2 linked regions of the Macaca mulatta genome follow. The protein of the gene in region 2 purifies or fractionates together with the protein of the main gene of each other region. This does not show direct contact. Links are inferred from orthologs where the notes say so. Each region holds a gene or a part of one and is shown on either strand. Other genes may lie near its edges.

Region 1 (4,860 bases), on a different chromosome or scaffold from region 2:
AACAAAACAAAAAAAAGAAACAGGCTGGGCACCGTGGCTAAAGCCTGTAATCTCAACACTTTGGGAGACTAAGAAGGAGAACTGCTTGAGCTTGAGTTTGAGATCAGCCTGGACAACACAGTGAAACCTCATCTCCCTCATCTCTACAAAAAATTTCAAAATTAGCTGGGCATGGTGGCATACACCTATAGTCCCAGCTACTTGGGAGGCTGAGATGGGAGGATCACTTGAGTCAGGTCAGGGAGGTCGACGTTGCAGCGAACACAGATCTCACTACTGCACTCCAGTTAGGCAACAGCACAAGACCCTGTGTCTTAAAAAAAAAAAAAAAAAAAAAAAAAAGAGATAAAAGAATCGAAACCAAAAACATGGAATAAAACAAGCGGGACCAGCAAACACAATTATGCCACATCTTACAGAAAATAAAATAAGAGGGTTTAACTCATTTCTTATGCTTACAACCTATGTTCTGAAGAAACATTTTGTATAATCACCATGGATTTTTTCATAGAAAGGACTTCACTGGAGTTTTTAGTAGTCTCTGTACAAAGGAATAAATTGTAGCCCCAAAGAATTTTTGCTTAACATGGAAAGATAACGGTTTCTAATAATAAAAAAAAAAAAATAGAAGCTGTTTAACTTACTCCACCTTTATTCTTTCAAACACCAGGTTTTCGATTTAACAGACCTGATTACGTTAGTTGTTCACCAAGCTCTAAGAAAACTGGTCATTTTTTTTTTTTTTTTTTTTTGAGACAGAGTCTTGCTCTGTCGTCCAGACTAGAGTGCAGTGGCCGGATCTCAGCTCACTGCAAGCTCCTCTTCCTGGGTTCACACCATTCTCCTGCCTCAGCCTCCCGGAGTAGCTGGGACTACAGGCACCCGTCACCACGGCCGGATAGTGTGTGTGTGTGTTTAGTAGAGACGGGGTTTCACCGTGTTAGCCAGGATGGTCTCGATCTCCTGACCTTGTGATCCGCCAGCTTCAGCCTCCCAAAGTGCTGGGATTACAGGCGTGAGCCACTGCACCCAGTCAAAAACTGGTGAAATTTCTAGAAAATTTTAGCACATGTGAATTCCTACAGTTCTTTTATTTTTATTTTTTGAGATAACTCTTGCTCTGTCGCCTAGGCTGGAATGCGATGGAGAGATCTCTGTTCGCTGTGACCTCCGCCTCCCAGGTTCAAGCGACTCTCCTGCCTCAGCCTTCTCAGTAGCTGAGATTACAGGCACCCGCCATCATGTACAGCTAATTTTTGTATTTTTGGAGAGACGGGGTTTTACCATGTTGGCCAGGCTGGTCTTGAACTCCTGATCTCAGGTGATCCGCCCACCTCGGCCTCCCAAAGTACCAGGATTACCGGTGTGAGCCACCACGCCAAACCTTTATGGTTCTTTTAGACGTAATTGTTTTACTTCATGTCAGATTTTTATTGTAAGTTTGCAAAGTTTCCATTAGAAACTACGATGGAATTGTTCGAGTTACAAAGAATGAACAAGCAGATAAAAACAGCAAAGGTAGAAAATCACAACTTACAATCTGACCCTCAGTTCTTTACTTGGAATTTTCCATAATACCACCATTAAAAATAAATTTTCACTCTCATTCAAAAGCAACCCGTAATTGTTTTTCCTGGACTTGCAATGTGTCAAGAGCGCATCCACTGCCTTTCTAACCTGCAAAGTGAAGATTGACAAATAAGTGAAATGTTCTCACAATAACTTACACAAATAAGTGAAATGTTCTCAATCTAATTTAGCATTTGTCCCCTCTCACACCTATTTTTTCCCTTCCAACTTCAATTTCAAGGGGTAACCTCCATAACCGTATCTATGAGGATCTTGCAATTTATATTCAGAAAAATCTAAGAATCCATCAAACACGCCTAAGTACCCACTTCCAGCACTGTCTGCAGGACGCCTCTTCTACTTAAGAGATCGGGCCAGAGGGAAACGTGCCTCTCCTACCCTCAACGATGAAAGCAGTAATCCCACGAAAAGCGCAAAGTGTCATCCATTTAGCATTTACTGAGCACTCTCGTTTTTATTTTTTTTTTGAGACACAGTCTTGCTCTTGTCGCCCAAGCTGGAATGAAATGGCAGGATCTCGGCTCACTGAAACCTCCGCCTCCCAGGTTCCAGCAATTCTCCTGCCTCAGCCTCCCGAGTAGCTGACAATACACGCGCCCGCCACCACCCCCCAGCTAATTTTTGTATTTTTAGTAGAGACGAGGTTTCACCATGTCGGCCAGGCTGGTCTCTAACTCCTGATCTCAGGTAATCCACCCCCCTCGGCCTTCCAAAATGCTGGGATTACAGGCATGAGCCACCGCGCCCGGCCTACTGAGTACCTTCTCACCACGTGCCAGGTCCCTGGTCAAAGCGCTTTACACGCATTACCTCTCCCGATCCTGGATAGCGGGGAGTGGAAGGGCCCATTTTAAATAACGGGTAGCAGACCTGCAAAACTAAACGACTCGGTCAAGGGCTAACGATAGGGAAGCTAAGCCAGGTCGCCAGGTCATCTCGTCTAGCTCCACGGTACACTTGCAACCCAATTCAAGAGCGCCAGGCCGCAGGACTGGGGGAAGCAGGCGCCCACCCAAGTGTTTAAAGGGGGAGGCACACGGCCCGCAAGCGACCGTCCCACAGCCTCGGAGAAGTGCGCCGAGCACGCACTCAGGTTCTGGCACCCTGCGCCTCACGAGGTCACCGCCACCCCGCTTCCAAGCCACCCTCCCCAGGAACCACTCACCTGCTCTTTGTCCAGCTGCTTCCGTGCTGTCGGGGCCCCTGGAGTCGAGGCGGAGGTTGCAGTCGAGCCTGAAGAAGACGGCGGCGCGGAGGCCGAGTCCTCCATCTTGTTTTCACCTCGTGAAGACGCGGGTGTGAAACCCCGCGGCTGGCTTCTGCTGCGCACGCGCGAGCGAGGCCCGGACCCGGAAGCGAGGGGGCGGGAACCGAGCCTCTGTGCGTCATTTCCGGGCGAGCGTAGGGTTTTGCACTTAAGGGCGGTGGCTGCTGTCAGAGTCTGTTCCTTGAGGAGGCACCTGCTCTTCTGCTCTTCTCCCGCTTTCCATGAGGTGTGAGTAGTAGCTTGGGTGTCCCCTCAATCTTACACGATAGAAATCAAGAAAGCACCTTGAGGCGGGAGTCCCGTCAGGAGGCTCAGTGGGGTCCCGCACACTCCACGGTCCCCGCCTCCGGGAAGGCCGCGCGTGGCGTGGGCAGAGAGCGGAATCCTGGCTCTACTGCCCACCTGCCGGTTGACTTTAGGCGATGCCAACCCCAGGCTGGTGAGGAGTCCATGAAATATAAGGCACGGGAGCCACCCGGCGCGTCGTTAAGCAGCGTGAGGGACTGAAAGATGAGTCTGAGCCAATCTCTTAGCTTCTGGTCTCGCAGAGAGGCGAGAGGTAAGATCCACAAAAAAGCGTGGCTGGCCGTGCGCGTGGCTGGCGCCTGGAATCCTAGCGCTTTGGGAGGCCGAGGCGAGGGATTCCAGTAGTTGGAGACCAGCCCGTGCAATATACGAGACCCCATCTCTCCAAAAAATACAAAGATTAGCCGGCGTGGTGGTGCGCGCCAGTAGTACCAGCTACTTGGGAGGTGGAGGATGGAGGATCTTGAGCCCAGGAATTGGAGGCTCAGTGAGTTCTGATCCGCGTCACTGCACTCCAGCATAGGCAGTAGAGCGAGACCTTGTCGCTAAACAAAGAAGCAAGTAAGAGCGGAGGCTGGGTAACTGACAAATCGAATATCTTACAACAGGGGAGTCCAATCTTTTGGCTTCCATGAGCCACAGTGGAAGAAGAATTGTCTGGGCCCACATATAAAATACATTAACACTAATGATAGCTGATAAGCTTAAAAAAAATCTTTAAAAAAATCTCATAATGCTTTAAGAAAGTTTACGAAATTGTGTTGGGCTGTATTCAAAACCTGGCCTCCAGGGCCGCACGCGGCCCTTGGGTAGGACAGGCTTGCTTTGTAATGTCTTCCTCCCACTCCACAAACCTCCCCAGAGGTACCCTTACCAGTGCCTCCTGGAACCTTCCAGAGATGTTCTAGGTATGTTTAGGAGATACTTCTCCTTTCTCTTTTTGGATGGGTTTAATTTCTTTTTTCCTTTTTTTTTTTTTTTGTGTGTGTGTGTGTAACAGTCTCGCTCTGTCGCCCAGGCTGGAGTGCAGTGATCTCGTCTCACTGCAATCTCCCCATTTTCAGTTCAAGCAGTTCTCTTGTCTCAGCCTCCCGAGTAGCTGGAACTATAGGCGCACGCCACCACGCCCGGCTACCTTTTTTTTTTTTTTTCCCGAGACGGAGTTTCACTCTTGTTGCCTAGGCTGGAGTGCAATGGCGAGATCTCAGCCCACCGCAACCTCCGCCTCCCGGTTCAAGCTATTCTCTCCTGCCTCACCCTCCCCAGTAACTAAGATTACAGGCATGCGCCATCACGCCTGGCTAATTTTGTATTTTTAGTAGAGAGGGCGTTTGTCCATGTTGGCCAGGCTGGTCTCGAACTCCTGACCTCAGGTGATCTACTCGCCTTGGCCTCCCAAAGTGCTGGGATGACAGGAGTGAGCCACTGTGCCCGGCCATTTTTTTTTTTTTTTTTTTAAAGAAACGGAGACTGGCTCTGTCACTCAGGCTGGAGTGTAGTGGCGTGACTATAGCTTAACTGCAGTTTGGAACTCCTGGGTTCAAGAGATCCTCCGGCTTCAGCTTCCCGAGTAGGTAGGACTAAAGGTTCTGGTCACCATGTCCTGATATCTTTTACAGTTTTTTTTGTAGAGATGAGGACAGGGAGGAGTCTCACCATGTTGCCCAGGCTGGTCTCGAACTCCTGGCTTCAAAGGA
Region 2 (4,860 bases):
TTTTTAAGAGACAATTTCTATTTTTCACCCAGGTTGTGGTACAGAGGCATCATCATAGCTCACTGCAGCCTTTAACTCCAAAACAGGAATTCTGCACTTTGCCTATCTCACAAGAGCAAATTAATTTATATAAAGACAGTTTAGGGCCAGGTGCAGTGGTTCATGCCTGTAATCCCAGCACTCTGGGAGGCCAAGGCATGAGGATTGTTTGAGGCCAGCAGTTACAGGCAAGCATGGGCAATATAGCAAGACCCTTTCTCTATTGAAAAACTTTAAAAATTAGGCTGGGCATGGTGGCTCACGCCTGTAATCTCAGGACTTTGGGAGGCCAATGAGGGCGAATCACAAGGTCAGGAGGAGACCACCCTGGCTTAATACAGTGAAATCTCGTCTCTATTAAAAATACAAAAAAAATTAGCCACGCATGGTCATGCACCTGTAGTCCCAGCTACTTGGGAGGCTGAGGCAGGAGAGTTGCTTGAACCCGGGAGGCAGGGGTTGCAGTGAGCTGAGATCGCGCCACTGCACTCCAGCCTGGGCGACACAGCAAGACTGTCTCAAAAAAAAAAAAAAAAAATTTAAATTAGCCAGACGTAGCGGCACACACCTATACTCCTAGCTACTTAGAAGGCTGAGGTGGGAGGATTGCTTGAGCCCTGGAATTCAAGGCTGCAGTTAGCTATAATCATGCCACTGCACTCTAGTTTGGGTGACAGTAAGACTGTCTCTACAAAAAATAAAAGGGCAGGACGCGGTGGCTCATGCCTATAATCCCAGCACTTTGGGAGGCCGAGGTGGGCGATCGGATCACCTGAGGTTGGGAGTTTAAGACCAGCCTGACCAATGGAGAACAAGCCTGGGCAACGAAAGCAAAATTCGATCTCAAAAAAAAATAACAAATAATAAATAAAATAAAAGAGACACTTTATGAAACAAAAAGTTATAAAAACTCAGTCTATCACCCTTGTGTAAAAAAGATGTACTTAATTTAAAATAAAATAAATAAGTTACAAGAATATGGAAGGAGTGACACCTCAGAACCAAGTAAGACAGATGACTGTGGCTCCTATTTGAACTTTCTGACCCCCTACAACTTTTCATACTATTTAAAGCAATTAGACACATGTTGTAGCCTCCTTAGAAACCTATTCTGGCAGAGCCCCAGAACAATCTTGGAAATACATATTACACTGAATTCTGCCTCCTGGAAACGTCAGGCCTGGTCTCTGTTCTCAAATCATAGATTAAAAATAATCTCCTTGCCAACAAAAAACAAGCTAGTCTCCTTCCAAAATTTTATTCGTTTTCATCCCTTGGTTCCACCAAATAAGACCAAGTTTCCCATCCTGGTGGTCTCTTTTGGAATATAACAGAGTTTGGTCATGTATCTCTGGATTTGAGCATGCCAAATTGAAAGCAACTGACTGATGCGATGTAAACCAGGACCACTACTTCTTGCACCTGAGTACAAATCTGCCGCGGCTTCCTACGATTCTAAAATATTGCTATTGTAAGAGCTCCATATCAAAAGGCAGGGAAACAAACAAGTAAAGTTCATTCTAAGTAGTGTACAACCTAAGTCCAAGAACAATCTTTCTTCCCACTGACTTATCTCAGAACAGAGACTCAGTCACAAGTTAAATCACTAGGAAGCAACAGCAAAGCAAGGGACGGCTGTCAAGGTTAAGACTACTGCACACTGCTGGCCTATATAAAAAAACATGGTGTACACTCAGCACCGCAACACATGCCTTTACATTTCCATGGGAAATCTAGTCAATATAATACTAAGAAGAACTGAGTTACGTCATCTTCTCAGGGCGGCTTACCGGAAAACAAACTGTACTTCCCTTACTAGAGTTTAAAAAGTCACTAAAGACGCCGCCCACGTGCGCAGATGAGGTTAAGGTATCTCCAGTCTACTCTAAAGCTCCAGTCCCCACTTTTTTTTTTTGAGACGGAGTTTCGCTGTTGCCCAGGTTGACTTGCAGTGGCGCGATCTCGGCTCACCACAACCTCCGCTTCCCGGGTTCACGCAATTCTCCGGCCTCAGCCTCCCGCGTAGCTGGGACTACTGGCGTGAGCCACCATGCCCGGCTAATTTTTGTATTTTTAGTCGAGACGGGGTTTCACTATGTTGGCCAGCCTGGTCTCGAACTCCTGACCTCATGATCCGCCCGCCTCGGCCTCCCAAAGTGTTGGAATTACAGGCATGAGCCACCGCACCCTGCCTCCAGTCCCCACTTTGACTTGACTTGTAATTCCCTTCGCGCACGCTCAAGCCGGGAGTTATGTCTCAGCCAGCAACGTGGAGCCTGACTGAATGTCCAACTCTGCGCACTGTGTGAGGCGCGCCCAGTCGCCGGGGACCACGTGGGACACCCGGCCTTCTCCCGAGCTCCAATAGGGCCTCTCTACCAGAGTTCCTGGAACAATGTGGATGCCTCTAATCTCAGAGGAAGAGGTCAGCGCGCGGCGGCCCCGGCTTGGTCGGGCAGACGCATCCACTGCCTGGGAGCGCACCACTGCTGGACGACCGCCCGTCAAGACCCACGCCGGGTCTCTGGACGCGCTGTTACCCGCCGCGCGCTCTCACGATCCCAGCCCGGGCACCTCTCCCGCACCCCGGGGTTCCGCTCCACTCAGCGTCCCTCCTGGCCCCAGGTCCCTCCGTTTCACCTTCTCGGTTTGTTTTCGCAGTGTCTCCCCTTTTTTCATTGCGGTGTCTGATTCCAAACCAGCGTCACTACGGAGTTTTCCCGGCATCTTCAGCGCAGGCTGCCCAGGTCAACCAGTCTTCTCAACCGCGTGGAGAGGAAGAGGTAGTTCCCCCTCCTCTGTCCACCCGGCTCTCGTCACTTCCCGTAGCAAGGCACTTCCGGGGAAAGCAGGAAGCACAGGAAAGACTGCTCTCCGCGAAGTAAATTCAAAGCAACGGCCTGTGACTGTGGCTAAATTTAGTGCATTGACTGACCACTGGCGGCCTTTGGTCTAGAAGGCACCTATGGAACGGTAAAACCGCAAGGAATTACAAAGGTTAGCTTTGTATTCTCCAACACTGGCCAGATTTTCCCTAGCCCCAGCCTGAAAAATGAAGGCTTCTAGTTGCTTTTGAGTGGAGCATCTTCAGTGCTTTATGTTATATTGTTCGAGTTTGCACGTGCAGACTCGCGGATGTGTATTTTTTTTTTTTTTTTTTTTGAGACGGAGTCTCGCTCTGTCGCCCAGGCTGGAGTGCAGTGGCGCGATCTCGGCTCACTGCAAGCTCCGCCTCCCGGGTTCACGCCATTCTCCTGCCTCAGCCTCCCGAGTAGCTGGGACTACAGGCGCCCACAACCGCGCCCGGCTAATTTTTTTTGTATTTTTAGTAGAGACGGGGTTTCACCGTGGTCTCGATCTCCTGACCTTGTGATCCGCCCGCCTCTGCCTCCCAAAGTGCTGGGATTACAGGCGTGAGCCACCGCGCCCGGCGCGGATGTGTATTCTTTTTTTTTTTTTTTTTTTTGAGACGGAGTCTCACGCTGTTGCCCAGGCTGGAGTGCAGTGGCGTGATCTCGGCTCACTGCAAGCTCCGCCTCCCGGGTTCCCGCCATTCTCCTGCCTCAGCCTCCTGAGTAGCTGGGACTACAGGCGCCCGCCACCGCGCCCGGCTAATTTTTTGTATTTTTAGTAGAGACGGGGTTTCACTGTGGTCTCGATCTCCTGACCTTGTGATCCGCCCGCCTCGGCCTCCCAAAGTGCTGGGATTACAGGCTTGAGCCACCGCGCCCGGCCTGCGGATGTGTATTCTTAATCATCTCTTGGAAACGTCTACTCTGAAAGTGTCGGCCAGACTCAGGAGCCTGAAGGAAAAAAAAATTCAGTCGGTTCTAGTCGGTCATTCATGCGTGCACTCAAACATTTTATGAGCGTTCACTGTGTCAGGTAGGACAAACAGGGCTAGGATTCACTAGCAGACACAAAAGCCTTATCCTCAAGAAGCTTTATAGACTAGCGGGAGAGAGAGAAGTCTTGTGGTTTGAGACAAGAGTCTCCTTCTCTGTCACCCAGGCTAGAGAGTGCCATGGCGCGACCTGGGCTCACTGCAACCTCTGCCTCCCAGGCGCAAGCGAATCTCCTGCCTCAGCCTCCAAAGAAGCCAGGACTTCAAGACCAGCCTGGGCGACATAGCAAAACCCCTATGTCTTTATATATACATATATAAATATATAATATTATATATATAATATATATGAAAAAATAAATTTCAAAAATGGGTTAGAATCATAGAATACCTGACATTGACAATCAGCCTTTTTTTTTTTTTTTGAGACAGAGTCTAGCTCTGTTGCTCAAGCCGGAGTGAAGTGGTGCGATCTCAGCTCATTGCAACCTCCACGATTCTCATCCTTCAGCCTCCCTAGTAGCTGGGATTACAGGCCTTCGCCACCACACCCAGCTAATTTTTCTATTTTTAGTAGAGATGGGGTTTCACCATCTTTGCCAGGCTGGTCTCGAACTCCTGACTTCAGGTGATCCACCCGCCCGCCTCAGCCTTCCAAAGTGCTGGAATTATAGGCATGAGCCACAGCGCCCAGTCTTTATTTCATTTTTTTGAGACAGGTTCTCCTTCTATTGCCCAGGCTTGAGTGGAGTGCAATGGTGTGATCACAGCTCATTGCAGCCTCAACCTCCCAGACTCAAACGATCCTCCCACCTCAGCCTCCCGAGTAGCTGGGACTACAGGCATGTGCCACCATGCCTGGCTAATTTTTTAATTTTTTTTTTTTTTTGTAGAGATGGAGTTTTGCCATGTTGCCCAGGCTGGTTTTGAACTCCAGAGCTCAAGTGATCTTCCCACCTCTGCCTCCCAAAGTACTG

What was found. Proteins that work in one complex are often made in the same cells at the same time.
Region 1: the proteins of DDX21 (region 2) and RSL1D1 purify together in Homo sapiens (affinity purification with mass spectrometry; 3 studies listed by BioGRID and IntAct, with this or other methods). This does not show direct contact. The link is inferred for Macaca mulatta from reciprocal best matches to the Homo sapiens genes DDX21 and RSL1D1.

Annotation. Positions count from the first base shown.
Region 1 is NC_133425.1:12,994,261-12,999,120, forward strand, and holds the start of RSL1D1 (ribosomal L1 domain-containing protein 1), read right to left. Parts: upstream 2,861-4,860; coding exon 2,756-2,860; intron 1,678-2,755; coding exon 1,538-1,677; intron 1-1,537. UniProt on the Homo sapiens protein: Regulates cellular senescence through inhibition of PTEN translation. Acts as a pro-apoptotic regulator in response to DNA damage.
Region 2 is NC_133414.1:80,682,237-80,687,096, forward strand, and holds the start of DDX21 (nucleolar RNA helicase 2), read right to left. Parts: upstream 2,823-4,860; 5' UTR 2,767-2,822; coding exon 2,680-2,766; intron 1-2,679.